Linked DNA regions of Rhinolophus ferrumequinum. The protein of the gene in region 1 interacts with the protein of each later gene in a pairwise test. Links are inferred from orthologs where the notes say so. Each region holds a gene or a part of one and is shown on either strand. Other genes may lie near its edges. The genes, in order: UROD and LRATD2.

Region 1 (15,907 bases):
CAGAATTCATTCTCGCATCCTGATAGACACAGCTTTAAGCCACCCCAGTGCCCCGCTGCCCTGCCTCACACTCACTGAGCTTGCGCAGAGCATCCACAGTGACCTCAGGGTCCCCGCACACCTTCTTTTCTAACTCTTGCCAAGTCAGCAAGTCCAGCACAGCCTGCGGCACCACCTTCAGCAGACCTGCCTGCATGGCTGCCACCTGGGGAGGAAGGAAAAGGCCTGGCTGAGGAAGAGGGCAAAACTAGTGTGTGGTGGGGCCATTTGGCCTCTACTTGTGGAGATAATGGGGGACATGGTCTTTGCTCAGCACTGGGGGTATCTGTGTACCCCACTGATAGGCAGGAATATAGGGCAAGGGATGGTGGGGACCAGAGTTCTTGGGATTGGGTACTGGTAGCCTATAAGGCTGGGCTCTGGCTATGAGGAGCTGGCCAAAGCTGTCTGTCCTTCTGGCCTCTGGGCAGTACCTGCTCTCTGCTCTCCTCTAGCCGTGCCTTCTGCACCAGTTGGATGAAACGGGAACGGTCTTCATAGCCCACCACAATGCCTGTACCCCCGGGGATCAGCTCTACCACCTGCTGGTCACTCAGTACAGTGGTGAATGTTAGCTCCTTCCCAAATTTGAACTCAAATGTTTCCTTGTCCATTCCTTCCATCACTTCCAGGAGCTTCACCTAGGGGTTGGTGAGAGACAGGAAGGTCAGCTTTTCATAGTGGAAACAGTCCTTGTTTTTCCTCAAGATGCTCACAGGGAAGCAGGAGAGACAGCCAGGTACGGCAGTTCCCACGCAGGCCATGAGGGAAGTGAGGGGGTCAGTACAAGGGCTGTGAACGCATCAAAGCAACATGGAACCGAGCTTGGAGGCCAGGGAAGGCGTCCTGGAGGAAATGGCATCTATGCTGAGATCCAAATGATGTCTGGGGGTTGGCTGGGCCACAAGGAAGCCAGGAGAGAGAACATCTTGGAAAAAGGTGGAAACCGTAAAAGGCCTGAGGAATCTGTTTGGCTTGAACCTGAACATGAACTAAGTGCTCATGGGTCATGTATGGCCTTTTCGGATTCTGTATTTTATCCTAATCCTAGGGCGGAGCCATCGAAGGGTTTAAATGAGGAGAGTAAAATGAATTACTCTGGTTGCTGGAGATCAGATGGGTAAGAATAGAGACAGGGATACTAGCATTTGTAGTTAGTGGTTGGGTCACAAAGGAAGGTGGCCTGAACCAGTAGTGAGATGGGAGTTGTGACAGAATGTGGGAGGTGAGGGAGGAGTGAGGGATGAACCTTGGCAGGGGGAGGGTGGGTAATGGTGCCATTCTGAGACAGGGCAGTAGGATAGGGAGGTGAAGCGTATGCTGAGCTTCAGGTGCCGTCATGTGGCACAGGTCCAGCAGGCACATGCATATAGGGCTGGGGCCGGAGGGAAGGATTTACGGGGTCACTAGGATAGAGACAATAGTTGAAACCGTGGGAGTAGATGGGACTGGAGAGGGATCATGTGTGTGGTAAGAGAAGGTTCAGGACAGACTTGGGGAACAGCAACCTTCAGGGACCGAGCAGAGGACACGGCTCCAAGCCCTACTCACCAGCACAGAGTCCACAGCTGGGAAGTCCTTGCTCCAGCTCACCTCCTCACCAGAGAGCTGCTTCCACACAAAACCAGGCAGAGCCAGGACCTGTGGGACAAATCCTCACTACTGTCTGCTGACCCTGAGCTGCCCACGTTTGGCTGGCTCTTCTTCCTTCCAGGGGCCAGGGCTGACCTGATGGGGTGTAGAGTTAGGCTACTCACCAGGAACTCCTTACCCCGAAGGGCAGCCCCCATCAGCTGTCCAATCCACTCGTATTTGGCGAAGTCTCGGCAGGAGGGGTTGGGCACATACATGTCCCGGGCCTCACCTGTGCCATTGCCCTGCCCCCGAGACAGAGCTGTCAGCATGGCATGGGATGGACCATACTTTGTTGCCTGAGATTCCCCAAAACTTTCCTGAACATCTTCCACTGGGAACCCTGAATGATCCCTCTGTAGGTATAATGGCTCCTCCCTCCCTGGCTGCCCAGAAGCTGCCCAGGCAACTCAGTCCCTATTCTGCCCCCTCTAGCTCAGCCTGGTACCTGGGAGGTTTGCAGAGACAGAACAGTAGAAGTAACTTGGGAGGTAGAGGTGGGAGATTACCTGGTTGGCCGTGCGCACAAAGAAGGGCAGAGGCACAGGGGTGTCTGCTGAGCTAGGGCACAGCTCTTCTGACATGTCTGCCAGGCTATCCCGGAAACCACCCCCTGAAATGACAGATCGATGCCCTCAGCAGGGGGAATCTAGAGTCCCAGCCCCCGTAATGGAGGAATAAGCAGGTCCCCTATCTTGGTTAGCTGGTGACCCCAGAAAGCTCCACCACTCTAATTAAGGCAGGACACTTATTATCCCCCCATGGCCTCACCTTGGTCAATGATGCCTTCTGCAATGAATTTACACTCCCACCACTGATCATAGCGCATGGGCCACCTGTAAGTAGGGATGGACCTGTCATTATGCTGGGCCATGTCTTGGGACGTTTCGCCAGCCCAGACACCAGCCAGGAGTAGGGGCTACAGAGCGGTAATGAAGGATGTGTATGTGTACATATCTGCTCTGAGCAATTCCCTCACGCTCATGCCGTACCTGTAGTCCAGAGGCTTTTCATACTTGTCAGAGGGCTTGAGGCCTTCATAAACCTGGGGGCAGGAGACAGGGGAGGGAGTTGTAGAAAAGTCAAGACCTGGCCCCACTCTTGCCCAAAGACCTTGCTCAGGACCCTCTTGGCCCAGCCCCGTAGGCCCCTTACTACCCTCCCTCAGACCAAACCCAGGTAGACCAGACCTGGGTGAAGACCGCATTCTTGGAGGCAGGGTCCCTTAAGGGGCAGGCACGGTGTTCCATGGCAAGGCGCCGGTTGATGTACAAGCGTGGCATGAAGCTGGGCTTGCTGCTTTCTGAGTCACGCAGGCACTGGGCCACCAGGCCTGGCCGCTGGCGTGACAGCAGCAGGAACTGCTTCACTTGCTGATGAGAAAAGGAGGCCAGAGCAGGACCAGCAGGCAGTCAGCCTCTGTCCAGGCCCTGGAACCTTCTTCTACACCTAGACTGAATTCCACCATTCCAGTCCAAGCCTAGCCCATCCCTGTCCTTGCTGCCAATCCCCTAGTCCAGCCACCAGGGGGAGCTTTCTAAAACAAAAACGTCCAACTTGGTCATTACCTTCCTTAAAATCTTTCCTATGGCTCCACTCACCTGGGACAAAGCCCCTGTTTCACAGCCTGGCCCACAGGGCTCTCTGCTACCAGGGACTGCGTCCTTCCCACCCCCTTCCAGCCTCATCCCCATCCACACTCACATCTACCTGTATGCTTCTCTCACCTCTTCTATTGCTGCCTACTAAGTCCCAGTATGTACCTTTTATGCAACCTCTTCGTATCCATGCTGTCACCTCTCCTCCCCTAGCTCTTGTGTATTTCACACACTATCTGGGGAATAGCACCCCAGCAACTAAATTTTGACTGTTTGTGCCTGGCTTTCTTCTTATGTACCTAGAGCCCAGCAAAGGTTCAGGACTTTAGGTTTTAAGAACTCTCTGCTGAAGAGTTAACGACTACATGAGCATAGAGGGGAAAGCTACTGCCAAGTCCAGCACTGGATGGGACAGCTCACCTTAATCTCACTGAAGGTGCCCAGCGTGTGGTCCCAGGCAGGTACCAGGTGGTGCAGGACGCTGTCTAGGATCTTTATGAATCTGGGTAGGTGGTAAAGTAACTGTAGCTAAAGAGTTTAGCATGGATGCAAGACCCCCTCAATCCCAACACACAGGGATAGGAGAAGCCAGGACCAAGGGGCTGCTCTGACTTTTCAATTGGAACAGCTTACAGTATAAGACCTTGGGGACCTCTTCCACATAGACACACAAGGCTCAGAATGGGGGAAGGGAAGGGTCGGGCAGGCCCAGGACCACAGCTACCTCTGCAGGAGAACAGCTCTGCGGTATAGTACTTCCGGGTCAGTGCCTTCCAGGCGAGGATATCGCACCAAACTGGTTGGCTGGAACAGGTCTGCATTCAGCCCTAGTTCCCGCTGTCTAGATGACTTGATCTTGACCCCTCGAAGACGCACATCAATCCCATCATCTGGGGGAAGGAGTCGGAGTGAGGTCACGTACTGTGCCTGCTGCCTCCTTGGCCACCCTTAGACCTGAGAATATCTCCTAAATGCTCAATCTTTTGTCTCCTTTTGCCCCTAGACACGTGGGACCTTTGGGATCACCTTCTACTTACCTGATTCTGATTATTATATCCTTTACTGTCTACCACTGTAATGTTGGAGTGTCTGAGGGTCCCAACTCAGTTCCTCTTCCAGCTGAGCCTAACCAACCACCTCTGTGGCTTTAAGGCCAGTCTATACCCAGCACATTTCACCCAGCTCAGGCCCCACAGCTTCAAATCCTGGAGTTAGTTCAGCTATCACCTTCACCTCAACTCCAAGCCCATCTGCTTCTCTCCACACTCATGGCCAGCTAGTCCCCATCTACACACTGGGCTCCCTTTACCTCCTGATAGCCTTAAGCCCCACCTCGGCACTCGACGATTCGGATCTCAATGATTGGGAGGTGGACAGTCATGTCCTCCAGGACACAGACGTCCCCGATCAGGGTCCTGAAGGAGACAGATGTGTGGCACTTTGGGTACCCTGTGCCTTCAGGGATTGCTGGGGTCTCACCCAACCTTCCAAGACAGGCAAGCCCCACCTCCCACCCAGGCCAGCTTGCTCACTCGTCAATGCTCACGTCACTCAGCTTCTTCAGGTTGTCCCCTTCGCCCCCATAGACCACCACCCGCTTAGGCATAAAGTTGTCATCTGTGGTATCGACTGTGAGTAGCAGCTTCCTGGGGGGCAGAGGATGCACATGGGTCTCTGTACACTCACAGACATGTGGCTCACCTACCCTGTCCCACTCAGAGCCCACTCACTTGACAATGGTGCCCTTTTTCATGGTAAGCCGCACCCAGTGCTGGCACTGCGATCCATCACTCTCCCAATAGGTGTCTGCATTGCTGTCTGTCAGGCAGGACACATTGAACTCCTCCTGGGGAGGGGCAGAAAGGTGGAATCAGTGTTTACCTCCACTCCCTGCACTGGAGGTGTACTTTGGGTCAGGCAGCACAAGAGAGAAAACATCAGAGCTGGGTAAAAAGCGCAGCTGGTATGGGTGGAATTGTCTAGGGGTTCCTATAGGATTTCCAAGATGGGGGGCTGGACTGAGTCTGGCCTATGGGGATTCAGGTTTAGCCGTTGGTCTAGAGGTGAGGGTTCCGGACCTAGCAAGATGTGACTACATCTTCCTTGGGGTGGGAGGAGTCCCAGCACCCACCGTGTAGGAGGAAACGTCTATGCTCTCCACATACTGCTTCACGCTACCCAGGTTCTCATCCTCCTTGCCCAGGTGGTCGTACAAGAAGTGGATCAGGTCCTCGTCGCATTCGTAGGTCCACGTCGGGGGTACATAGCTAAGCAACCCCAAGTCCCTAATTAGGTCGGGCCCAGACCTGGAGCTCCTTCCTCCCCATCCCATCCCAGCTCACTCACAGTAGCCTTTGTACAGCTTCTGTGTATGCCTCAGCGGGCTGAGGCCTCGATCCGAGGCGATGTGAGTATGTCAGATCTACCACCTGTTCCCATCTGTGGGCAGAGAGTGGGGGTGGGATGGGAAGACATCAGTGGGCAGCAAGACAATCCCAAGCTCTGGAACCTTACCCAGAGCTCTATCTCCAAACGGCGCCTCGTGAAGCACCCCCTCACTCCGCCCCCTCACCACTGTTCCCTTCAGGCCCCGCCTCTTCCTGCTCTAAACCCGGCCTTCGCTCCATATCCCACCTCCCAGGCAGTGCCAGACTACTTTCCAACCTCTGGGGGCGAGGCCCAGACAACTGGTAGCAAGCCCTGCCCCTTCAAGTGCAGGACCTGAGCAGTGGGCGGTAATCCACACCGAAGAGCTGCTGTTGCCGCTGGAGGTGGTCGGGAGTGTCGATGGGTACAAGGCGGGCCCCGCCCTCCGCCGGGCGGCATACCAGCAGCCAACCTTCCTCCAGCCCGCAGTCGCCCAGGTGCTCTGCGAGCTGCTCCTGCCGGGACGCGCCAGATGGGGACAGCCGTCAGGAAATTGCCCAGCGGCCCGCCCTGCCCAGCCCAGCCCAAGTCAAAGGACACTGAACGCAATGCCAGCTCAATATGAGAAGGAGGGGAGGGGAACAGCTAGGGGCGTCCCTGGTACCGGGGGTCTTCTGCAGGGCCCAGGGCAGGCCTGGGCGCACCTTGGTCAGCTTCACACAGAGCCCGTGGCCGTTGCACAGCTCCTCGCCCGTGGTGCGTACGCAGGCGCCGCGCCGGAGCTCGATGCTGTCGCGGGCCGCGCGGAGGGGTCCGGAGCCAGTACCCGGGGCCGGGCCCGGGGCTCCCACACGCAGCCCCAGGCCCTCTGCCTCCCACACCGGCAGCAGCACTCGCGACGGGCCCGCCGGATCCTTGTAAAGCTTGTAAAGCACCTCGCGCGGCACGAAAGCCAGCGCCGCCGGCAGCGGCCGTCCGGCGCGGAGGTTCTGCGCTGCCTCCGCCAGGAAGCGTATTCGGCCCAGCAGCTGCCGCGGGGACTCTAGGGCCGCGCCGGGGCCCGGGCCTGCCATGTCGAAGTGTCAGAAGGAAGACTACTGGCGACCCGGCTCTAGGAGAAGCAGCCGTGAAGGCTGGTCGAGCTTCCCACCACGCTACGCCCCGCCTTCGGCCAGCCTTTACCGTAAGTTCTGGGCTAAGTGCACCCCACGCTCCCGCCGTATTGCCCTGTGTACTCGGATACTCATCTATATTACCTACCCCTGTGCCTCCCACTCGGCCAACCAGATCCAAGTCCAGTAGTTTCTACCTGATCAACTTACTCCTCCTTGTCTATTCCTATTTCTATTACCATTTTATTCCCACTGTTACTACCCTCATTCAAGCCGCCATCCTTTCCAGACTGGTTCACTAGAACCTCTATTTTTCTGGTCCTGGCCTCTTGTTTTGCTTCTCCACCAACAAGTCATACTACAACCAGAAAAATCTTTGAAATTTTCTAGACATCCTCTTGGGCTCCCCGTCCTAGGGACCATGTGACTAAAATGTTTGGGGGACTAACCCCCTCCCCAGCCCTGCCACTGACAGAGGAGTTATTAGTCAGTAAGGCTTGAACAGGTAGTTATTCCTGATCCCAGAACACCAGTGATCATTATCCAGTTTCTCCCAGTAATTCTGAACCAGATGAGAGTAAAAGCTAAGAAGGGAGGGGAGGAGGCAAAAAAGGTGGACAGGTGCTGTTGGTGAAGTACAATCATGGAGGAAAAGGAAACTCCCCCCCCCCCGTTTGAAAAATTTTATTGAGATATATTCTTATACCATTCAATTCACCCAAAGTGGACAATTTAATAGTTTTTGATATATTAATTTTAAAAAGTGAGGTAAAATGCATACAACAAAATTTGCCATTTTAACTTTTTAAAAAATTTTTAAGGAGGGCGCAGCTCATGGTGGCCCATGTGAGGATCTAACCGGCAACCTTGGTGTCATCAGTACCACGCTCTAACCAACTGAGCTAACTGGCCACCCCCCATTTTAACCAGTTTTAAGTGTACAATTATCTATTTTCAAAACTTTTTTTTAATCACCCAAACAGCAACTCTGTATCCTTTAAGCAGTAACTCCTCATTGCCTCCTTCCCGCTGCCCCCTAGTAAACTCTAATCTACTTTCTGCCTCTATGTATAATTTCCCTATTTTAGGTATTTCATGTAAGCGGAACCACACAATATTTGTCCTTTTGTGTTTGTCTTATTTCACTCAGCATAAGTTGTAGCATGTATCAGAACTTAACTTCTTTTCATGGCTGAACAATATTCCATTGTATGTACATAGAACATTTTGTTTAGTCATCTGTTGATGGACACTTGGATGGAAACTTTGTTTTGATATAGTTTTCAAATAATTGAAGTTATCAAGAAAGAAAGAATAAATGATCCCATGTATTTTTGACAGCGTTCCATTTTTTTCTCTCTAGAAAACTGGGAACCCAGTGCTTCTCTTCCCTTCTTTCCATGCTATTTCTATGCTATCACACTGTTACAGGATAAAGTGAACACATGTACTTCACAAGGGCCTGCATGACCTGAACTCCGTACATCTCCAGCCTCTTTAATTCCACCAGATTGATCTCCTGGTTCCGTAGTAGCCATTTGCTCTTTAGCCTCTTTGTTTTGTGCATACTGTTTCCTCTGCTTGGAACACCCCCACCACTTTCCCCAATTAAGTGGGGAGCCTTTGCTAGTTACTTCTAGCTTTTTCCTCTTAAAACATTTATTGTTGTGATTGCTGATTTCTATTTCTTCAACAGTCTGTAGAGGAAGGGGCTGCCTTGCTCACCATTGTAATTTCCACAACTATTATAGGCTCTTCTATGTCATACAAATATTTAATGATTTTAGTTCCTTATTCAGCTTGGTTCCATACTGCATTGTATGCCTGGCTGGCCAGGCATGAGATTGGATTGTTAGAATCATGGACAGTGGGAGTGAAAGTAAGACTTAGGCCGAGACTTCGGGATTGTTAGGTCATCAGAGGAGGGCAAATTCCTCATGCCATGGTCAGGTGTAGTTAGAGCTAAGTTATTTTTAGGGATGTTTGTTGCTGCGTCGCTACACGGGTCTTTACGGTGAAGTGAGGTAGGGGGTCCTAACGGCAGCAGCTAGGGCAGCCCGGTAGCTGTTGCTGGAGTCTGATCATGTGACTTTCAACATGGCCACCACCTTGGCTCAGTCCAGGAAGGGGCGGAGCCTGGGGAAGGAGTAGGCTAAGATTCAGGTTAAAGTAGGAATTGGCTCGCAGTTACAGACATCTTATCATGGAGGCGAACGGGTTTGGGTGAGTTCTGCGCACTACGCGATGTGGCCAGCGGGGCTTCTGATCTGAGTCTTCCAGCTCAGGGATCTGTCCCTATATCGCCCTTCCCCGTGGAGAGCCCCCAACCTGAACCCCAGAGGCTCGAATTCCGAAAATCCTCTAATCATGGATTCCCGAGACCTTCATCCCAGGGTTCACCTAGCTGGACTGCGTCCCTCAGATCTTCATTTAGGAAGATGCCCCCAGGACTTTCAAATCCTCAACTAGGACCCCTGTTTCGGAACCGTCAACTCTGATCCCTCCGTGACTAACTCCCAGACCCGGAATCAGCCCACTTATATTCTCCCGTTCCTGTTGATTTTCTGGTCCAGAGACCTTGGAACTATCCTTTCTGGGCTTTCTTTCGCCCAGCCCCCAGTCCTTCCAGTGGCTTTGAGCTGGGGGAACCTGGGACTGAATGTAGAGTAGAGGCCCCTGTTGGGGCCCTTCTATCCTTGTGCACCACCTGATAGGCAGAGAGGAGGCAGAACCGGGTGTGGAGCCACAGCGTGGGAGCTGGTCTGGAGAAAGCAGATAACGGCACTGGACTGAATCTGCCTTAAGAACCCGAGCCTTCCATAGTTTACTGACACCTACCCACCCTTCACCCCCATCCCAACCCCCCATCTCCAGACCCCAGCCTTTTCCGGAGCTGAAGAATGACACATTCCTGCGAGCAGCCTGGGGAGAAGACACAGACTACACTCCAGTTTGGTGCATGCGGCAGGCAGGCCGCTACTTACCAGGTCAGGGTCAGGGCCTGGGAGTCTAGGTAAAACTCTGGAAAGAAAAAAGTTTTTGAGGGGCAGTGGAGGGCTCTACAGGTTCCTCAAGGTTGAGATTTGCCTTCCTTCTGTCTACAGAGTTTAGGGAAACTCGGGCTGCCCAGGACTTTTTCAGCACCTGTCGCTCCCCAGAGGCCTGCTGTGAACTGACTCTGCAGGTGAGGGGTCCACAAAAGAGGGAGGGATTTATGCCCCCAGCTCGCTACCTAGCAACCTGTCTTCTATTCCTTATAGCCACTGCGTCGCTTCCCTCTGGATGCTGCCATCATCTTCTCCGACATCCTTGTTGTACCTCAGGTACCCACTCAAACTTGATTCTGGAATGGGTGAAAAAGGGAAAAGACAGTCATGGTTCAAGATGAGCACTTATCCTCACTGGGCAGAGGGAAAAACAGGCTGGAAGAGATGGGGTTTGGCTGAGCTTTATTCTTTTTCTCTTTCCTGGCATGGGCTGAACAGAGCCTTTCCTCCGGAAGTTACAGGTTGGGAACACAGATGTTTTCTCCCCCTCCAGGCGCTGGGCATGGAGGTGACCATGGTGCCTGGCAAAGGGCCCAGCTTCCCAGAGCCATTAAGAGAAGAGCGGGATTTAGAGCGCCTCCGGGATCCAGCCATAGTGGCCTCTCAGCTGGCCTATGTGTTCCAGGCCATCACCCTCACTCGACAAAGGCTGGCTGGGCGTGTGCCACTGATTGGCTTTGCTGGAGCCCCGGTAACGTGGAACAGGGCAGGGATTTGGACATGGGGAAAACACTCTGGCAGGTCTGGTGTAGACAAGGAAGGAAGTGTCAGTCTGGCTTCTACACCTGTGACATTTCTCTTTGTATCCTTTTGTAGTGGACTCTGATGACATACATGGTTGAGGGTGGCAGCTCAAGCACCATGGCTCATGCCAAGCGCTGGCTTTACCAGAGACCAAAGGCCAGTCACCAGCTGCTTCGCATCCTCACTGATGCTCTGGTACCATATCTGGTGGGACAAGTGGCTGCTGGTGCCCAAGTGAGTCCTGAAGGAGAGACAAATGGGCTGGGGTTTAGTGTATAAAGAGGACAGAAGCAACAGAGTTCTCTATACCTGAGAAGGTACGTGTCTTAATGGCAGGCATGAAAGAAGCTTGGCCTGCAGTGATCTGGCTGGAGCAGCTAAGTCCACCCTGACACTGGCGGGGGCTTAATGCTTTGTGTGTTCAAAGACCAAAGCTAGCACTGGGATCTGTAGGAAAAGGCAAAACTCTTTGACTGGAACTGGGTTTTTACAGGCTTAGGCAGTATGAGGGGTTGAAGTCACTTGGGGAAAATTGAGGCACATTCTGGGTGTGGGGCCTGAGATACTTCCTTTTTGTGTGTCATGTATTTCTCTTCACCACCCCCTAACTGTAGGCATTGCAGCTCTTTGAGTCCCACGCAGGGCATCTAGGCCCACAGCTCTTCGGTAAGTTTGCACTGCCCTACATCCGTGATGTTGCCAAGCGAGTGAAGGCCAAGCTGCAGGAGGCAGGCCTGGCACCAGTGCCCATGGTAAGAATGGGGATGGGGGGAGTGAAGGTGTGACTGGAACTTTCAGGATAAGTCCTGTATGGACTGAAATGACCACTGGAGGGCAGCAGAGGTAGGTTAGTGGGCATACTGTAGCAAGGCCCTCTGTAGCCTCAGGGATTTGCCCTTTCCCCCAGATCATCTTTGCTAAGGATGGACATTTTGCCCTGGAGGAGCTGGCCCAGGCTGGCTACGAGGTGGTTGGGCTTGACTGGACAGTGGCCCCAGAGAAAGCCCGGTAAGTAATGGAGGGTGAGGTGGAGCAGGTGCAACTGCTGTTACGTGCAGTCACCAGAAAGTGGCATTGACTCTGCTTCCAGGGAACGTGTGGGGAAGACAGTGACCTTGCAGGGCAACCTGGACCCCTGTGCCCTGTATGCACCTAAGGTAACAACCAGGGTCCCTATATGTGTCTGTGAGTTTGTCTCTGTGCACTCCCATGGCTGTGGGTATGATTGTGTTATATTGTGTTTTTATGTCTGTTTGCCCCTCCACTATACCCCATACACACCATGTGAACTCTAGGAACGCAGGAATTTCTTTTTATTGTTGTTGTTCATTTGTGTTAGTGCCTGGCCCATCCTAGGCATCCAGTAAATTTTTTTGAATTAATGACTGAATGAGTAACAGAGCGGAAGCATGCCTACACGTGTGTGTGCCACCATTGTGTACAGGGAGGACAGAGGCTTGCTGGTCCCCCTATAGCCAGTGCCCTGTTGGTCCCCCAGGAGGAGATCAGGTGGCTGGTGCAGCAGATGCTGGATGACTTTGGGCCACAGCGCTACATTGCCAACCTGGGCCATGGACTTTACCCTGATATGGATCCAGAACATGTGGGGGCCTTTGTGGATGCCGTGCACACATATTCACGTATGCTTCGAAAGAACTGAGCGTACCCCTTCTCCCTCAAGTACCACTAACACAGATGATTGTTTCCAGGGGAATAAAAGTTCCAGAGTCTAGTATGTGGTTTTGTTTGTGAAAGATCTGTGCCCTTATCCACAGTGCCTTCTTAGCCTTTGCTCCTTCCTTGGGGCCTCTTTCTGCATCCTCTCCCACAAGTCATGGAAACTCAGATCGTAATACATACTGTAGAACTTAAGTCAGGGCCCTTACCACCCTCTTTCCCTTAGATCTCCAAGCCCCAGAGTTACATGGGCTTGGGTAGAGCTTCCTAACAGCCGTAGCTGTGACATTTGCAGAGAAATGGGGTCCCCACAGCTTATGAGGCCAAAACAACAGGGTTTGTGTCTGGGGAGGGGAGAATAGATCAGAGAGGGGCACAGAAATGGCTAGAATACTTCATAGAGGCCTGTCAAGGAAAATGGAATCTAGATAAGCAGGGAGAAGCTGAGAGGCCTTCTGCTTTGATACAAAAAGATGGCAAGACATAAAGACTCACAGCTAGGTTGCTTAGGATTAGAACCTTAGACTCGCATCATTGAGGCAAGAAGGCCTCTGAAGCCAAAAGGCCTGTGGTGCCTGCTCAAGGTTGTTCTGCCTTCTTTTTTGAGCACGTCCTCTCATTTTCTCAGGATCTTGGTGTTTCTGCCCATCATCATGGTACCTACTTCCTGGGACAAGGCTCTGAGCTGCCTGTGAGCTCTGGAGAAGGGTCTGGTGTGGCAGGAAATTCTTCATTTGTCATTCCACATCTCCTTAGACCACTAGAAACCCATTGTGCTACAGACCTAACCAGTCAGCAATGGAGAAGAGAGAGAAGAGCCCCATTTATTGAGAACACAATTTCTGATTTTAGAAAAATCTTTTCTGTGATCCATGATTTATTCATAGAAAAGCACTGTGAGTTCACTTGCTAAAAAATGGCAATCGTGATACAGAAATGGGAGTGGCTTCTTTTTTTCTAACCAACCTGTTGGGCTAAGAGGTTGTAAGGGCCCATGGCTGAACAGTAAGACTTCAGTAGCCACAAACAGCAGATACAACTTACTGGTTAGTGTGGAAAGAGGGAGAAAAAAAGGTGACAGTTTGTTAGAAATGAAAATAAAGCAGAGAGGTCTTTCGTTCACACTCTAGCTATACCACCCTTTCCCGATCACACCCACCCCCTACTTGGGAACTAAAACATGAAACAGTAAACACCAAGACACTGGCATCCAAATGACTTCTGAATGCCCTTGCTACCTCCTATAACAATTCCAGGCTGAGCACAGGGTCAGGAAGATAGCAGGAACATCATACACTAGAGGTCAGCCAAGGCTAAGACAGGTTGCCCACTAGGGCTAGAAACTAGTTAGAAAGGGAAAGGCCAAATGCATCCCAGCCCTAGCCTCCAAATCAGCAACCAATGGAACCGTGACAAAGCAGGCAGAGGAAGCTTGAGGTAGAGAGGCAGGGGAGGAAAACAAGTTCAGGGTGAGAAGAAAACGAGCTGAAGGAGCCACTCAAGGTAGAAGGGGACTAGTGCTTACAAGCTTGTTAGGTGAGAGAGAATGGTGAATAAAGGAGACACAGAGATGGGGAATGTGTTTAGCTGGTGAGAGAGACTAAGGAATGGAGAAGAGAGATGGGCCATAAAGAGAAGGGACACATTCATGCAGATCCTCAAACATGAATTCACAGACATACCTACATGTTGAAATACACAGTTACACATATAAAGACAGATCAATGGAGAGCAGGCATACACACAGACACAAACCTGTTTATACATATGACCTCGTGTGCCCAGATACACACAAGGAACACACATATGTAGTCTTACATGTTCACAAATGTGTATACCCTCGCACAGAAACCCACAGTACAGCACACAGACATGTATTCACACAGACACAGATACACATAAATATATGCACACATACAGGCATGCACAGATGTATTTATGCATACAGGCATGTACTTAGCCATAGAGACACACGCACATACATGATTAGAGAGAAAACCAGTCACTCCAAGACAAAGGTGACCAGAATAGATGAATATTATGAGCTCAGTGGCCTCCCAGAACTTGACTTTCTCCCTGCACTTGTTCCTCAGGAGCTCAGCAGGCTCCTAGAGGCTGTGAGGCCGGAGCAAGAGCTTCAGCGTCCTCGTGGCTTTGGGTGGCAAAAGTCTTAAATCCAGTCCTGGCTCTGCCTTCACCCACCTCTGGGCTATAGGTGCCCGTCTGTAGGCTGGGGTTTCTGCATAGACTAGACTTGGGATTTATTCTAACTGGCCATTTTTCTCCCTGCCACCTCCACTCTTCCACTGCCAACAGCTTATACTCTGTAAGGGAAACCTGAGAAATGGTTGTGAGTCTCGTCAGAAAACAAGCCTATCTTCCCACCCACAGCTATTTCAAGTACCCATCAAATTAGAACCAGGATTATAAATAGTTACAACTTTACAATGTAATTGGCAACACATATACTATAATATTTACAGTACCATAAACGCTTCTGTTTCTCTGGTTAAGCAATCCCTGAGACGGAACAGTGTTCTGTATTTGCCAAGGGAGAGATGCCCAGGACACGCAGGATATAGGGGCGTGAGGTGGCATGTTGTAGTGTTTCTGATCGATCTGCAGGGCCCAGCTCCTCCAGGAACAGTGGGCTATAGTGAGAACCTTGCCAAGGCAGGCATATTGGCTAGAGTTGGACTCTCCCCATGCTCAGCCGTGTGGTCCTTTGGCTTCAGCCACAGGTGCTTAGAGTCCTCTCAGGGTGGACAAATATTTCAGTGTCCTTGGCCTGACCTGATGGTACCTGGGAGCCCAGGCTGCCCAGCAGTGAGCTGTCTGCTTTCTCAGCCAAAGCGCTCTCGCACCAGCAGCATCAGCTTCTTCTTGCCTTTGTAGATTTGTTTGAGGTTGTCGATGAACTGGGCAAACTGCAGGTGGCCATCCTGGGGCAGCAGGAAGGTCTCCCGAGCCTTGCTCAGAAACTCAATGAACTCTCCATAGTGGCGAGGGCTGATGTGTGTCAGGCGTGAGTGTGTGGTGTTGATGTAGGCATTGATGGTGGCATCCAACAGCTGGCGCAGTGGAGCTTTGTCAGTGGACATGAGCTTTCCAGAACTGCGGCGGCCTGGGATGCCAGCCAGGCCAGGTGCAGTAACTGTGCAGCGCCGCAGGATGTCGGAAAGCACTGTGGCACAGTGCACACTCTTCACCACCAGGGGGATGAGGGCTGCCAGCTCATTCTTGCCCAGAGAGTGGCTGAGGGCACATGCCCAGAGCACATCATTGATGGCCGGGTGGGTGTCCTGGTTGTAAGCCAGGTTGAGATGGCTCATGGCCAGCGAGGCCAGCTTGAAGGCACGGAGCGGGTAGCCACGGAGCTCCATGTAGCGGGCGATGGTGAACAGCTGCGAATGTGTCATGCCACCAGCGGCGGCATCAATGGCGATCTGGTAGGCTGCCTCAAAGGCGATGTGGTCTTTCTCACAGAGTGTAAGGGCTGAGAGGGCACAGCTCTGTGGATCCTTCATAGCACACTGCAGGGCCAGCGTGCGAGCACAGCTAGCCAGCTCCTCCCGCTGTGGATAGTCAAGACTGAGGCGCAGGAGAGTGGTGTGGGACACGGCTGTGGCGGCCACAATGCTAGTGGCCTCGGTAGGGGTGAAGAGTGTGTACCAGCTCTGCAGGATGCTCA
Region 2 (15,800 bases), on another chromosome or scaffold:
GCTCCTTTTAAATTTTTCCAAATACGTCATTGTCCTTCATTGAGCAAGCTCAGTCCACTTAGGAGAAACGAGAACAGCAGACTACACCCAAATCACCCAAGAATAAAGACACATTCTGGATTAGGCTTCTCTCCCTCTACTTTCTTGTGCAATGAGAACCATGATAAATTAAAGACTCCCACTCTAGGGAAACAATGGTCTCCCTACTCCCTGAGCTCCCTATAACCTTCTGCATTCAACTTTCCTCCTGTTTAAGATTCTCACAGGAATCTGTTGACTAAGCTCAGGCTTTTGAACCTCACAGGACTGTGGTAGCGGCTTCAGGGGTCGGCCTAGGGAGTGCTGATGACCTCCCACATAAGTCTCAGACGCCACAGCTGCTCCTTTATCACTGACAACAGTGCCACGTGATCACATTTGCCCATTTTCTGTAATGAAATTACTCACTGAGCCCATTCCCTTTGTTTGGGACTCGGAAACCACCTAAGATGCAACATGGGTTGCTGATCTTCACCCCAAAACACCCCAGCATAGATTCCAAAATGTGAATGTGCTTTCCAGCAATGCTTGCATTGATTCTGAAAAATCAATGTGTATTCAAAATTTATGTTCATGAGAGTTTTTTTATGAACACTGATAGCCTAGAAGTAATGGGTCATTAATTCTCACATAGTAAAGGCAAGGGAGGGCTTTCAGTCACTAAGTGAATTTATCAAAATGTTTACTAAGGAATGAAAAGATGATACACACTAACTGTGTGTGTGTGTGTGTGTGTGTGTGTGTGTGTGTGTATGTATATATGTAATGTTTGTGTGTGTGTGTGTATGTATATATGTATGTTTGTGTGTGTGTGTGTGTGTATATATATGTGTATATATATATATATATAAACTGCAGGTAAGTTGAATAGCTTGGACTTGGACCAAAAATGGCAGAAAAAGGTATATAAGTGGGGAAAAAAATTATATATATATATATCTGTGTGTGTGTGTGTGTATATATATATAATAAAAATTCAGTTAACACCAATAGATGGTTTATTGGAAACCCTCATAGCATTTCTCAAAAGGACTTGACAGATTTTATTTTAATAAGACATAGTGAAGAGGAAATGGTTTAAAAGATGTCATCAATCTTTTATTTAACTAAGCAATGCCCTTCATTTTGAAGGAAATGATATACAATTTCAAATCAGTATCTCCTTCTCAAGAAGTGGTATAAGAACATAACATTGATTTAACATACAATCTTCAACAAAAATAAAATTTACACAATTCAATGGGAAATAAAATACATGTGTGGAATTTATGTTAGTCAATGTAATTCTCCATGGGTTACAAGTATTATAGCTAAGAACAAAACAACATAATGAAACATTGAATAACCAGTCAAGTTTATAGTTACCCTGATTAAAAAAAAACAATCATAAATAAAATATAACTTTCCAAACAAATCCATTCAGTGACCATGACTAAATTTGATGCTAATTTATAAAAAATGGTTAGACAATCACATAATATCAAGAGTCTTCAACACAGTGGATTCCATTTTGTTAAGAAAAAAATAGAAAACAAGTAGTCCTTAAATTTTCTTCACTCTCCATAGCATATGTAGTATAAAATTAAAGTTTTGCTTCCAAAAATATGTTTCCATGTGGTTGTAGTGTTGTCTAGTAGTGCTATTAGAGTCAGAAGCACCAAAGACATGAGAAGTTTAACCACTGACGTGTCATTTTTCATAAAAACTAATAATTTCCTCAAAGGTCTGGAGTACAGTCTTCTGCTAGGCATTTTAGTGTTATAAAGTTATTTTAAATTAAATGTGGAATAAGAACTACAAAAAGCTGTGTTCTTTCAATACAAAAAGTTGTGTAGCTGAAGTTGAGGGCTCCTTTGACATACATAAGCAGTCTCAATAAAATAGTTGCTCAAGTAAGAAAATAGAATTTGTCTGACTACATTTAGCATACGTTCCGGTCAGGCGTCCTGCCTAGCCCTGCCAGAGCTTCTGAAGAACTTTAGAATTGTTATTTCTTTCCTTCAAAGAACATCCGTAATTCACAGTAAAAAATAATTCTGAAGTCTTAATCCTAAAGAGAAATAAAAATCATTAAATACAAATATATTTTTTAAAGTGCCAGATGTCGCCATTGCCTGGCATTAAAAAGTCACTTATCCACAACACTGCCATCTTGAGGAAAGAGCCAAGAGTTGATTTTGATTCTCTTTTCTTGGCACCTTCACTGGTTGGTTTTTGCTTCACTTGAAGCTTTATAACCCTAAGAAATCTTCCAGTGGAATTTCCTAAGTATTACACATTTCACCTCTCTGGTAACCTGTAAAAACACTGGCTCTACATGGGAAAGCAGTGTTTGCAGTAGACCTATTTCCTCTTCTAGGTCATTCTCAAGCCCAGTTATCAAAAACCACTTCTCTAGAGACAGAATGCTATTGTCGGTATAAATCTTACCGGAGTTCTTCCTTCACATTGAGATTTCTTACAAAAAGCAGTTCATTTGCAACAACAGGTGGCACTGCTATGCCTCTGTGACCATTGACGTTCACTTTCCATTTGAGGGCAAAGAAGGGTGAGAGATGGGAAAGCGGAAAAGAGTTGGCTAGCTAGCCCAGAGCTGCTGGGCAGCGCTGTTTTGCTCTTTTTCCTTCCTGCTGTCTGCACATTGGTCATTACTTTCAATTTTCATTACTGTGTTAAGCATAAGAGAAGATCCAAATCTGTAGGTAGAGTAGGCTCTCCTTAATGTCTTTACCCATGTGTATCTCATTCCACGTTTCTATGAGCAAAAGAAAATAAACACAAGGCGGTGAGATCTATATAAACTAGAGCTACGTGTCCAGCAGGACACTGATGTTTCTCGAAAGTCGCAGACTAGGGCTGAGGATGGTTCATCTTTAACAAACACAACAATAGGACCTCTTTGGTGATCCCGACACAAACAGGAAACATAGCTAATGCCCTTGTAATGAAATAATGTCATGTTGAGGTGCTAGGGAGGCTTTTCAAAAAGGATGGCCTTGCCTCCCAAGTTTGAAAAAAGTGTACGAGAAAATTCTTCAAGTCTTCTTGCCTTTGTTTAGACATTTGTTTAGGCAGGAGGCCCAAGGATGACCATGGCTGTAGAACATTCCAGTGTGATTCTACTCCAACTCTTAAGATTTAGGTCACAAAATGGCGGGTTCAGTGTTATCACTAATGACTCTCGGGAGAAAGAACAACTTCACGCAACTTCTGAGACAGCATGAGCCACGCCGATGAGCAGCTGAGGTGCCTTCTGAGATCGAGGCCCCACAGAATTAAAGAGCTCACGTGAATACAAGAGACAAGTTGTACTTTTTTTTTTTTTTAAAGTCTCCTAGGAAAGCAAATAGAAGCTCAGCAGCACAACCAAATAGTATCAGCAAGCCTGCTGCCAACAGATCCCCACCGTCACTAAACTGTGCCTCAGGACCGTCACCAGACTCAGCACTGACTACACCAGGTGGCACTTGAGATTGCTGTCACCTCTCGTAATTGAGAAAGCATTCCGAACGGGTGTTCTCCGAGCAACAAGGAGACTGCTGCCATGTAACAGGACTTTGCAGCTGGAAGTGTGCCTCAGGTGTGGCTACCAAAATACTTACTGAAATATGCCTCAAGCCTAAGATTTTACCAGCAGCAGAAAAGTGAGAGGGAAGGGGCGGTGAGGAAAAATGAAAATTCACAGGCCCACCACCAAAGTCTTCCATTTGAAAAAGGTTCAGGAATGGAGTTCACTGGGGAGTGGGAGTAATTGACTAATTAATTCCCACCAGGGCAACCCTGTTTGGCTGCTTCTGTAGTGGATACTTTAGGAGTGGCACCTGCCAACCCCATGCAGGACTGCAGATGAACACAACCGATCGGGTTTAATTAGATCAGAGACACAAAGGGCTGGTCCCTCCTTAGATAACAAACAACACAGCTGTAAGTGCCTACAGCAACAGGCAAAAAACACAGGCGGCCAAACAGAACCATCACTGAACCCTTCCCCTAGCTGGTCCATGACAATGATTTACTTGCAACCTGGAAAGTGGCGGATGGAGGAGGAAGCAGGAGACTCAGGTAGAAGCCAGCTCCAGAAGATGAATTACTTGGGGCCAGGGGGGAGGGAGGTAGCAAAGTCTTTGTTTTGTAGCCCAAATTTACTCAACTATTTGTTACACTTCACAGGCGGCTGTTTGCTTTTGGTCTGGTGCTCCCAGACCTGGTCCTGGTTTCTCCAGTCTTGCACCCAGGAATCCCATAAAATAAATCACCCCAGCCTCCAGGATCCCACACACAGCTCCACAGGGGAAGCAGATAAGCAGCTCTCTGTGCTGGCCAGGAGCCTCAATAAACCCACCCTGGCCTAAGTACAGGGCATCCTCCAAACCGAAGGTAGGAGGGAAGCAGGAAGGGGCAATAATGGCAGGCGTTGGTACTTGGAACTTTTTTCCACCCCTGTGTGCATATGAAGAGTCAACTTTGGACCCAGGTCCAGCAGGGATTAGTGTCAGGCGTGTCCACAGTTTGTCCCATCTCAGAAAGGAAGACTGACTGAGGGGGCAGGCAGGAAGTGCCCCCAACCAAAGAGCTCCTACCTGTTCCCTCTTCCTCCTGTCCAAGATAACATGCTCAAGCCACAGATGGCTGCGCATTTCGCCCACTCTAGGTTTTCCAAATGGCCCAGGAGCCCAAATGGGGCCCAGAAGATGGTGGAAGAGGGAGTCAGAGGGAGAGGGCAGCGGCTGCTGCAAACAGCTACCTCTGACAGCTCTGCACTCAGCTCGCGGGTCAATGCACGACCGCCTCTCGGTCCTCTCCATCCTGGCCCCGCGCAGGAGGGCGCTCCAGAGGCGGCGTAGTCCGCGCAGCGTCGCTGTCGCCCTCTTCGGGTTCGGCCGGATGCAGATGCATGGCAAGCTCCTGCAGCACCGCTGCGCGCCCTATCTGGTCGTTGCGCCGTTTCTCCATGATCAGGTCCTCCAGGCTCTGGAACTCGAGCGTGTGGCTGCGCTGTGCAGAGAGCTGGATCTGCAGCCGATAGGGCTGCTTGCCGATGCGCAGCTCGCCGCCGATCTTGAACTCGCGCTTGCCATAGCGGCACCAGGCGGCGAAGCTCTCGGAGTTACGCCAGCTCAGCTCGCGCTCCTTGGCGCCCACGTGCGCTAGCGCGTTGCGCACCACCGCGCTGGGGCTCAGTGGCTTGTAGCGGTACAGATCGTTCACCACGCGGCCGCGCCGGCCCTGGCTGGCGTCCGTCAGGAAGCTGTTGCTCACCTCAAGCCGGTGCAAGTGCACCACCTGGAAGTTGCCCACGTATACAGCCCAGTGCGGGTACTGCGCCTGCGACACGAACTCCACCAGGTCGCCAGGCTTGCACTTGTTGAGCAGGTTCTCTGGTGTGTAGGTGCTCAGAGCCGCGGAGCCCGGCGCGAAGCTTTTCTGGTAGATGCACTCGTCGCGGTAGAACACAGAACACTCCACCTCGTGCAGCCGCGGATCGTAGGGCTGGGGTGGGGGCAATGGCAGCCCGTCCCCACGGTCAGGCAAGCCACTGCCATCCGACCCATGGGGCGGCGGTTGCTGCTCTACGTCCTCGTCGTCATTGGAGAAAATGTAGGAGACCCCAATGCGTGGCCCGTCATCCCGGTCCACGCCCGTTGGGTCGGCGGTGGGAACTTCCTTATAACTTAGGTGGGTCAGTTTCTCCACCTGGTTGCCCATCACGCTGCGGACACACGTTCACAACGCCGAACGGGGAGAAACAGAAAGCACCACTAGGGTCATTGGCACAAGTTCCCGGACAGGGGATGAGACCACCTGTTGGCAGAGGAAGGCAAGGGAGCCATATAGGAGAGTCTCCGCGTAAAGGACGATTTGTTAAGAAGAGGAAGAAAAGATCGGGTGGAGCACCTGGAATCATTCTAAGGGGAGTCTCGGATGTAGTGAGCCTTCCCTCATTTCTCCACCTCTAGGGTCATGGTCACAGGAGGCCGGCAACTCTAGCTCTCCCCCGCCCCCAGCCCTTCATCTCGCTCCGGCAAATGCCCATTGCATCAGCAGCAGCTCCTACCGCTTCCGCCAGCGCCCTACCTGCCAAGCCCAGGCAGGAGAGGGTAAGGAAGAGAAACTTTACTCCAGTCTCCAAATTCCTAACGCCCCTTTCTCCTTAGGGCCCTTAAGTTAGTCCCTGAGACCGACACACCCCACCCCCACCCCGCCTCCTGCCCCGAAGAAACCGGCAAGGATCGCACAGCACGGTCCGAGCAGGTGAGCCACCCTACCTGGCTCACCTGCGGCGCTTTTTCCTCCGGTCTGGTCCCTCCCCCCTCCCCCGCGCGCCGGCCCTCTGGCTCAGGTTACCTGCGCAAACTCACCCGCCAAGAGGTGGAGGCCCTGGGGAACGGGGAGGGGCCCCAGGCCGCACCCTGAGACTTCTAGGGTGACTTTGCAGGTGTGGGCTTTTCAGTTCCTCCTCTCCAGACGTGGGCGGCAGCGAGGCTGGATAGGGGGGAGCGACGCATGTCTTGCCCCCTTGGCTACGTAGAGCCTTCAGACTTGAAGGTGGGAGGCACCTCTTCCCTCCCGCTGAGTCTACTGCTCCCCCTCTACCGGCTCTCGGGGAAGGTAGGAAGCGAAAAGAAGGAGAAGGAAGCAGACTAGCTGCCGGGCGGTCGCAGCTCCCGCTCAGGCTGGACGAGCAACAAGCGCCGGAGCGGGAGGGACGGGATTGTAGATCCGGCTCCGGGCTTCCCGGGCGGGAGTGCAGCCCCTGGCATTTAAAGAGACAGGCGCCCGCTCCCGAAGCCTCGGTCTTTCCCACACGGCGCAGAGCCTCCGGGATCCCCGGCCCGGCCCCGCCCACCCCTACCGCGGGACTCCGCCCAGGCCACGCCCCCACGCTGGAGCGGGTTTAAATCCCGCTGGTAAATAATCTACAGGCCGGCTGGGCTGGCAGTCTGACCGCAGGTGTCAGTCGCGGCCACTGGGGAAACTCGCTTGCCTTCTTAGAGCAAGGGCCTGCTGTGGGGTTCACACCGCTTGCTCAGTTCGCATTTTTCCGAGCTGGGCGCTTTATAAAGTTGGAAGGCAAAAGCTACCTGACAGTATACAAATGAGAGAGGGAGTAAGAGTTTGCTGTTTGTTTTCTTTCTCCTTCGCCTCTTTTTTGCCACAGTACCTGGAGCAGGAGGAACAGTCATTCGGAAACAAACAGACTTATTTTCTTCCCTAGAACTTATTTCTTGCCAATGATCACAGAAGAGATTTTTTTTCTGGGACGGCTCAAGAAGTGCATCCGTTTAGAGGTATTTTCAGAATGAGTGCTGTAGGGAAAAAAAAATCCACAGAAAAAGAAACAGTATAAAACAGAAGGAAGTCTTATTCACTGGCTTTCTTCCAAGAACTGCGCTCTGTTTATTAGATGTCCCTCGAAATGAGCACAAAGTTGATTTCATAACCTCCATTGTTTCGAGTTACTACTTGGTCCCATAGTGAGAGGAAGCATTCAGCTCTGGTTGTTTTTCTTGAGGGCAGGGGAGGTAGGAATTGCCTAATTGTCCTTAAATTAAGAACAAATTAGCAGAGGCCCCTGTTAGATATAGTTCCTTCCTGCTGATTTACAGAAGGAAGTGACAGGGGAGGAGTATTGCTTATTAACCTACACCTCCAGAAGACACTTCCTCCCCTCTCCAGGCTGGTTTCGTTTTTTTGTATCTAAGATGTAGGCTACCAAAGTGTTCTTTCTTTGTGTTTGCAAAACAAACAAACAAACAAACAAAACCACATAGATATGTGTGGAGGTGGAAGTTTGACAATAGACAAGCTAGATGGAATTACGAATGCAACTCAAGACCTCTTTTAACCCTATTTTCCATCACTGTTTCTTTTGACTAAGTTTTTCCAGGTAACACTATTATTTATTCAGTGTGTATACCAATCAGTGGAAACAGAAATGTACTAACACTACTCTGATCCTTTTCAGTTTCAGAAAAACTAAATCAATTCACTGTGTACTTTTGAGCCTGAACAATCAATATTGGCAGAGCTGTGATGGTAGGTGGTCCTTCAGCAAGTCTAAGATCACTGTGTGTTAGACCAAAAGGAGACTTCTGTGTACCTGCTGGGCAGATTAAATTTAAGTTTCATCAGACCAGCCTTAGGAAAGTGTGACCAGATGAGTGCCCCCCCCCAATACCTTTTGATCTTTTGGTAACACATGCTCAGGGAGCTGCTGTTACCCGAATGGTATTTGTCAGTACCCTGTGAACTCATGTAGGTACCCATTTTGCAGGGAGGAGTTAGGCTTAGAAAGGCAAAGGCTAGTCATCCCATGTCTGTTAGACTGGGAGACCTTTGCTGACGTCAGCCACTGGGTAGGTTGGCTAGTGATAGGAGAATCCCTAGAAGGATGTAGTATGACAGTTTGCAGCCTTCACTCTGGGACAAGGATCTACTAAGGAAACCACTGTGAAAAATAATATAAACAGAGCTACTTCAAACTAGAATCAGAGCTGTCATCCCAAAGGGACTGCCTTGCAGTCTTACTCCTCAAACCTTCAGAATGTTAAAACTGGGCAAAATAACCTTTGGACTGGGCCTAAAGCAACACTGTATTCCTAACAACTGTTTGTCATGACTGTTGGACTGAAGGTTACAGACCTTTGTTAGAATCACTATGTTAGCTTATCTGCACCTATGGAAATGCCTGCCTCTATTTATTTAATTGTAGTTGGAGAGGTGGGGAAGCTTTGGGGCTTTAAGTTTGTCAGTCTGGCTGCCCTGTGAAAAACGGACTGTAAAGGGATGAGAGAGGAGGCAGGACCCCATAGAAGGCCAGGCTGTGAGGCAGAAAGGCATTCCACACAGATGGAGCCTAGTGACCAAAGGTCAAAGCCCCGAAGGCACCTTCCCCAAAGACCAGCCACAGTAAAGCCAGTTGGATTTGAATTCTCAGCCATATTGTAACCTTATCCCCTATCAGTGACCCAAGTGTCACAACGCACATACCTCCTCAGAGAAGGCACCCAATCAAAACAAGTTGTGTGGAATGCCAGTCAGTGACTCACACAGTATTCCTGCCCGGGACCGTGGGGAATAATGGAAAATTGACATTTTCTACCTGATGAGACATGGGCACTGAGTGTGCATGTGTGGTAGAGATCTCGGTTTAGATGATTAGCTCCAAGAATGTACAAAACAGGAGCACGAGGGCGGAATTATGTGATTAGGCAATCTGGAACTCTGCCTGTCCCCTGGGCAGGGCCCCAGGCCCATGGCAGCAGCAGATAGCTGGTGAGTTTGCTGGGAAACAGGTTCCTTCATACTTCCCTTAGACTGGGGAACTAGACTTCCCTGCGCCTGTTACCCGCTCCGGGGGTTTTGTCGATACCTGAGGAGGGGTGAGGTGGCAGAATGGAAACAGATGTCCCAGGTAGGAGTCCTGTTTGCGAAGTACATGACCTTGGAGCTGTTTCTCCTCTACCCTGAGCCTCCTTTCCCAGTCTGTAAAGTGGGGCCGTTGATACTTCTTGCCTCACTGTGAATCCTCGAATGAGACAGTATATGCGGGAGCACCTTTGAAATCCTAAAGGCGATGTGGATGCCAAGCACTATTTATACAGCGTGTAAGAGCCACATGACGGTCTTAATGCGGGAGCAAAAGCCTGACCATGTGTTGTGGGCATCCTCTTACTAAATCATACCCATCCTGTTTTTTACATTCCTACCAGTAGGTAAGAATACAAAAGCCCAGCGATGTGAATCTGGCCTGTTCTACGTGGGAGGACCTGGATTCAAATCCCCATCTGCCTGGCTCCATGCTGTGTCACCTTGCGTCAGGATCACCAGCATATGTGTTTGTTCAGCCACTGGCCAGCCTGAGGACCAGGGGCTGGGTTGGAGAGTGACCAACTTGTCCTGGTTTGCCTGGGACTATCCTGGTTTTAGAACTCAAAGTCCTCAGCAAACTGGGACAGCTGGCTGCCCTACCTGGCTGCCTCCCTGTCCTGGTCATTGCCTTCCCTGACCAAGAGTTTCATGGACTCAGAGCTGAGGCCGTTGCCGGGGTGGAACAGAAAAGAAGGGAATAGGAGAGTCAGGTGTTTTTGTCCACATCTCACTCTTACAAGGCCCCCATTTCCGTTTCCAGGTTATACATATAGCAGCAGCTGCATAACCAGGGCCAGCCAATACAAAAGATAATACCTCCCTTATACTGGGAAACCTGCTTCGGGCATTTTTTTTTCCCCCTTTATTAATCGTACTCCTCACGTAAGAGGTGAGGGTTGGGCCGTCTCCCCTTGGAGAGGAACTATCCTGCAGCTGCTTTCTCCACCTTCCCAGCCGGCCTGTCTTGGGCTTGGGCTGTGTTTCTCCTAAACCTTCAGATTAACGAAGGGAGCCCAGGGGCTTCTGAAGTGGCATCCTTTCCTTTGGTCTCTGTATTTTATCTGCTTTTCCCCTCAGATCACCAGAGCAGGCTCTCTCAAGCAGGCTGGGCCAGCGCTAGTCTGACCTATAAGTGAGGGTGACAGAGATGCCCTGAGAAGGGGTCTGAGGCTGTCACCTACCCGACACCATCAGCCCTCCATGCATTCATGTCATGGCTAAATTGTGAGGCAGTTTTGAATCCTTTCCTGGAAGAGGGCTCACCCGTGAGAAAATACCGAGGCCAGTCTCTCCCAGAGGCTTGCTCTTTTAGGAGGCCCCTGACATCATATTGCTGAGGTCGAACCCAAGTTTGATTTGTGCTACTGAGTCTGAGCATGTAGCTAGCGCCTGCAGAAGCCTCATGAAAGATGCATTCTACCAGGCGGTTCCTGGGGAGAGACAGGCTTAAATTACAGCTTGACAAATCCAAATATTGGCATATCTGCAAATCCAGATGTAGGGATTTCAAGAAAAAAATCTAAATTCTAAGAATCTTATTTTGCACTCCTTGTGCAAGAAGGGGAGGATGAGATCGAGAGGAGACAAGGCCACTATAATGGGAGAAGCTTGGGCAGAGCAAATCCAACCTCCTTTTCTTTCCTCGGGCGTTCCTCTTGCTTCCTGGAAGAAGAACTCCCACGTGAGGGAAGAAGACATTTTTTCAGCACAGCTCTCTGCAGGACAGATCAGGCATAGCAACCACCCAGGAATTGGGACACGGGGCTCAACAAATCTGGGTGGTCAATTTGTCTGCTTTCCCCAAACCACTTCTAGGCCTGGGGCCAACGGATCCCCATAGAGCACTCACCCCCTATTGTCTGTTCACCACACAGCAGCCCCAGCAATCCTGTGAGACTGTGAGCCAAGCCAGGTCACTCCTCTGCTCAAATACTCCATGGTTCCCCATCTCCCTTGGAGAAGGCCAAAGGCCCTAAAACAGCCCTCAGGGCCCCGGTCTGCACTCCCGCATTACCTCTCTGACACCCCCTCACTCACACCTCCAGTCTCCCAGGCCCCTTGCTATTCCTCCCCATGGTGAGCATGCTTTTCTCTCTCAGAGCCTTAACATTTGCTGTTCCTTCTGCCCGGAATACTTTTCCCCCAGATAGTTTCATGGCGTGCTCTTAAAGTCTTCACTCAGATGTTAGCTTGTTGGTGAGCCTTCCCTGATAACCCTATTTAAAATCCCAAGTGTCCTCTCGTCCATACACTTAACATCTTTCCCGCTCTATATCCCTATCAATCGATTCATTTACCGCCTTTCAGTATCCCATATAATTTACTAATTTATTGTTGTTTATCATCTCTCCCAATTAGACTATAAGCTCTATGAAATCAGGGATCCTTGTTCATTGAGGTATCCCCAGCTCCTAGAACGGTACTTGACGGTACATGCTAGGCTCGATACATTGTAGTTATATAAAAACACAGAAGGACTTTGCATGAGCCACTTCTGTTCATCCTCACAATAGCTTTATGGTATAGGATTAACTTGCAATTTAAAGCTGGGAAAAGGAATTATAAATTTCATGAAATACCTGTGGTTCGCCAGGCACTGTACTAGGCAGTTGAGTTTCAGAATGGTTAAGAAGGCGGGCCCAGGAACAGCTCAGTTCACCAAGAAATTATTGCTCCACCCTGCCCAACATGGTAGCTGCTAGTCACGTGTGGCTGTCGAACACCTGAACTGTAGCTCATCTGAATTGAAATGTCATAAAGGTTAAATGTACACCAATTTCCAAGTCAGTAAAAAAAAGTAAATATCTTAGTCACTTTTTCATATTGATTATATGTTGAAAGTATAATATTTTAGGTCTATGAGTAAAACAAAGTATATTATTAAAGTTAATATCACCTGTACCTATTTCTTTTTCCTTTTTTTAATGTGGCCACTATAAAAATTTGAATTACACGTGCATACGTGTAATTTGCTTTGCATTTGGCTCTTGTAACTCTTTTCATTAAACCTTGCATCTCTGTCTTCAAGGAATATTACTTCTTGGAATGTTGAGGGCAAGAGTTCAGTGACCTCATCTTTCCTATAAGGCTAAGAGCAAAGATATGCAAATGTATCAGCAAGTTCCAAAGATAGGAACATACTTGTTACATACTGGATTTTTTGCCCCCCTAAAAATTTCTATGTTGAAGCCCTAACCCCAAATGTGATGGTATTTGCCGGCAGGGCCTTTAGGACATAGTTAGGTTTAGGTGAGGCCATGAAAGGGAAGTCCCCATGATGGGGTTACCGCCCTTAGAAGAAGAGGAAAAGACACCAGAGCTTCCTTTCTCTGCCTTGTGAGGACACAGTGAGAAGGTGGCCATCTACAAACCAGGAAGAAGCTTCTTACCAGAACCAACCATTGCTGGCACTCTGATCCTGGCCTTGCAGAAGTGTAATAAAACAAAATGTCTGTTGTTTAAGTCACCTAGTCTGTGGTATTTTGTTACGGCAGCCGGAGCTGCCCAAGACAATACCTAAAGACTAAATGTCTCTTCCAAGGACAGTAAATCTCCAGGAAAAGCCAGTGAACGGTTGAAGGGGCCTCCCTGGGTGGTGTGTTTTCAGCACCTCCAGTTTCAAGCTGATAGCCCCCGACACACACTTGAGAGTTGGATCTGTGGACGAGGAATTCCCAGTATAATGGAGGTGGATGAGGCTGACAGAGCAGGACACCCACCATGAAGGTTATCGAGCATGTTCTTCTTCCCTCTACTCCCTGTTAACTCGTCAGCCTTCTGAGAGGCATTTGGCTTCTCAGATAGACATGCTTATAAAAAAGACGGATTGACCTGATGGTTACACTTCCTTTCGTCAGTCAGTAAGCTGGAGAGCTGGTTTTCCTCATCTTGACTCTATGGGCTGGGTCTGTCCACTTTCAGTGGATTGACCGAGTCGAGTTTTTGAGACTTCCAGCTTGAGGATCACACCTCAGATGACAGAATGCATGAAAGTGGTAATAACACAAATACATACGATGGTAGCAGTTAACATACGTGGACTGTTGACTGTATCAAACATCATTCCAAGAGCTTTGTATGTGCTCACTCTTCTAATCCTCACCAATGGAGTGGGCGTTATTATTATCCTCATTTTACGGATGAGAAAGCAGAGGAATCGTAAATGTAAACATCTTCCCTGTGGCCACACAGCTAGTGATTTGCAGAGCCAAGAGTCAAATATAAGATCATGCCAGGGCGTCGCGGTCACCTCTTGCCGTCCATCTTGCCCAGACAGTAACCAATATGGCTGAGTTCCTTTGTATTCACACCCCACATTCCTTTTGGGCCCATCCAGGTGTGATGAAGCCATCACCTATCACCTTTGCATTCATTCATAAGTCTGCCTCTTCACCACCCTTCTGGCCCCTCTCCTCCCAGTTTCCCATGGCCCACTATGCCCCAGCCACAGCAGTCCTTGGTTCCCTGTCCACACCAAGCTCAGGATTGCCTCAGGTCTTGGCATGAGGGTTCCCTGGGCCTGAATGTTTTGCATCCCACTCTTCACAAACCTAAATTCTTTGCATTGTTAATGCCTTCCATTAAGTCAAATCCTTAGAGAGGGATCTGCGAACTACAACTAGCTGGCTCGCCACCTCCCACGTCCTCAGCCTGTTGGTTTCCTGCAGAACACTCGCTGCCATCGATAGTGACTGTATTTGCTTCTGTACTCATTTTTACCTGTCTCTCCAGGAGCCCAGACTTTGATGTATCACTGTTCTACCCCATTGTCCAGTGCAGCGTCCTGCACACATCAGATGCTTAACAAATATGTACTGAGTAAATGGATCCTTCTTTGTATTAGCCCAATATTCTCATTCCGTAAGGGTCAAGAGAAACACTTCTTCAAAAACTGATTTTGACTTTCAATATGACCTTAGTTCACAAAACCAAGGTGTTAAGTGAAAGCAGGAGGAGGCTGATGAAATAGAATGGATCAAGGAGAAGAAATAGAAAAAAAAGAAGAAGAAGGAGAAGGAGAAGAAGAAGAAAACAATAAGGGTCTATTAAGGGGAACAAATATCAAGAAAGGGTTTTGTTACCGTTCGTAGCATCGGGGGTTGATTTCCAGTTTGTCCAATGAATTCACCTGACCGGACTGCGCGAGAGAAAGATGGGATGGAGTTCTCCCTTTCTTCCATGGTGAGATGTACCTTTGGTCCAGCCCTGTCCTGGTCCCTGTAGCCGGGGCTGAATGTCCACCACTGCCGTGAGGCAGTCACCCCTGTGCCTGGCAGTCCAGTCCCAGGAATCCTTGAATACCTACTTTATGTCACTCATGGTTCTCACTTGCTATCCAAAGGGACTAAAACCCAGTCTTGCCCTGTGCATGCTCATGCCCCATCACACCAACTGGCATCTACTGATCAACTTAGTACATATCTAGTAAGTATCTTTGAAGTAATGGATTAATGAGTGCCTCGTATTAGGCCTTTTCCTTAAGAGTCCTAAGAGTAGTCGGAGATGTCAGACAAGGGATATGTAGAGACGGAGCCAAAATTATAGGCATATAAGCTGAGCTTACCTAGCTTTTGCAAACTGAACAGCCACTCTGTGCATAGCTGTTATAGGAGAGGAACAATAGTTTTGCTCTGCCTATCTTATGTTCTTTATCTGTGGCCCTCAAATGACAAGACAGATGAACAAGAGAAAAAGAAAGGGAAGTTTATGAACATGTGCATCCCGTGTACATACATGGGAGCACTCTGTGATGAGTAGATCAAAGGGGTGGCTTGAACTTGGCCTTATATGGCATTTTAGCAAACAACAAAAATTTTGTAGAGAAATGATGAGGCAAGAAAAAGGATTTTGAGCTTCTAGTGGTGGCAAATATGTGGGCAAACTAATGGTAAACAACGGCTAGTTAGTAAGGTTTGTTTGTGTAGACTATTTCTCAGGGCCCTCTTGTCTCCAATGCTAGGGTGGTTACCCTCTTCCTCATACAGGAAGTGGTGGAGGTGAAACCTCAACAAGGGAAGTTTATGTTCTGTTTTCAGGTAGACAGGGAGAGGGCAGAGGGCTTTTCTTATATCTGCTTCTTCTCAATTGACTTCAACTCAAGATAATCCTTGTGCCAAAAATGCAATATTTCAGGGTAGCAGATTATGCTACTCTTCACTGCAAACCGACAAAAAGATGAGGTCTTGTCTCTGAGATAGCAGAAGGACTTATTCCATGCTAGATACTGTGTTACCTATTTGTAATGATTACCTGGTTAATCCTCCTGACACCTTATCGGGCACATTCTATTATTATCCTAATACCCATTTTATAGCTTGGGAAAGTTAGGGACTAGTGACCTGTCCCTATCACACAGCTGACAAGTCCACCAACCAAGAGGAAATGAACCT

Evidence for each region.
Region 2: the proteins of UROD (region 1) and LRATD2 interact in binary tests that used the Homo sapiens proteins (3 or more experiments, as listed by UniProt). The two-hybrid records come from large-scale screens. The link is inferred for Rhinolophus ferrumequinum from reciprocal best matches to the Homo sapiens genes UROD and LRATD2.

The regions. Positions count from the first base shown.
Region 1 is NC_046292.1:31,911,394-31,927,300, forward strand, and holds UROD (uroporphyrinogen decarboxylase), read left to right. Parts: upstream 1-8,815; 5' UTR 8,816-8,951; coding exon 8,952-8,971; intron 8,972-9,622; coding exon 9,623-9,735; intron 9,736-9,852; coding exon 9,853-9,932; intron 9,933-10,008; coding exon 10,009-10,071; intron 10,072-10,288; coding exon 10,289-10,486; intron 10,487-10,611; coding exon 10,612-10,773; intron 10,774-11,153; coding exon 11,154-11,291; intron 11,292-11,446; coding exon 11,447-11,547; intron 11,548-11,629; coding exon 11,630-11,696; intron 11,697-12,037; coding exon 12,038-12,199; 3' UTR 12,200-12,274; downstream 12,275-15,907. Other genes in the region: E3 ubiquitin-protein ligase HECTD3, read right to left, coding at 76-205, 474-680, 1,591-1,680, 1,797-1,916, 2,181-2,284, 2,443-2,507, 2,664-2,716, 2,862-3,044 and 9 more; ZSWIM5 (zinc finger SWIM domain-containing protein 5), read right to left, coding at 15,060-15,907. UniProt on the Homo sapiens protein: Catalyzes the sequential decarboxylation of the four acetate side chains of uroporphyrinogen to form coproporphyrinogen and participates in the fifth step in the heme biosynthetic pathway.
Region 2 is NC_046297.1:62,834,885-62,850,684, forward strand, and holds LRATD2 (protein LRATD2), read right to left. Parts: upstream 6,870-15,800; 5' UTR 6,399-6,869; intron 6,331-6,398; exon of another isoform or gene 6,306-6,330; intron 5,842-6,305; 5' UTR 5,746-5,841; coding exon 4,813-5,745; 3' UTR 1,113-4,812; downstream 1-1,112.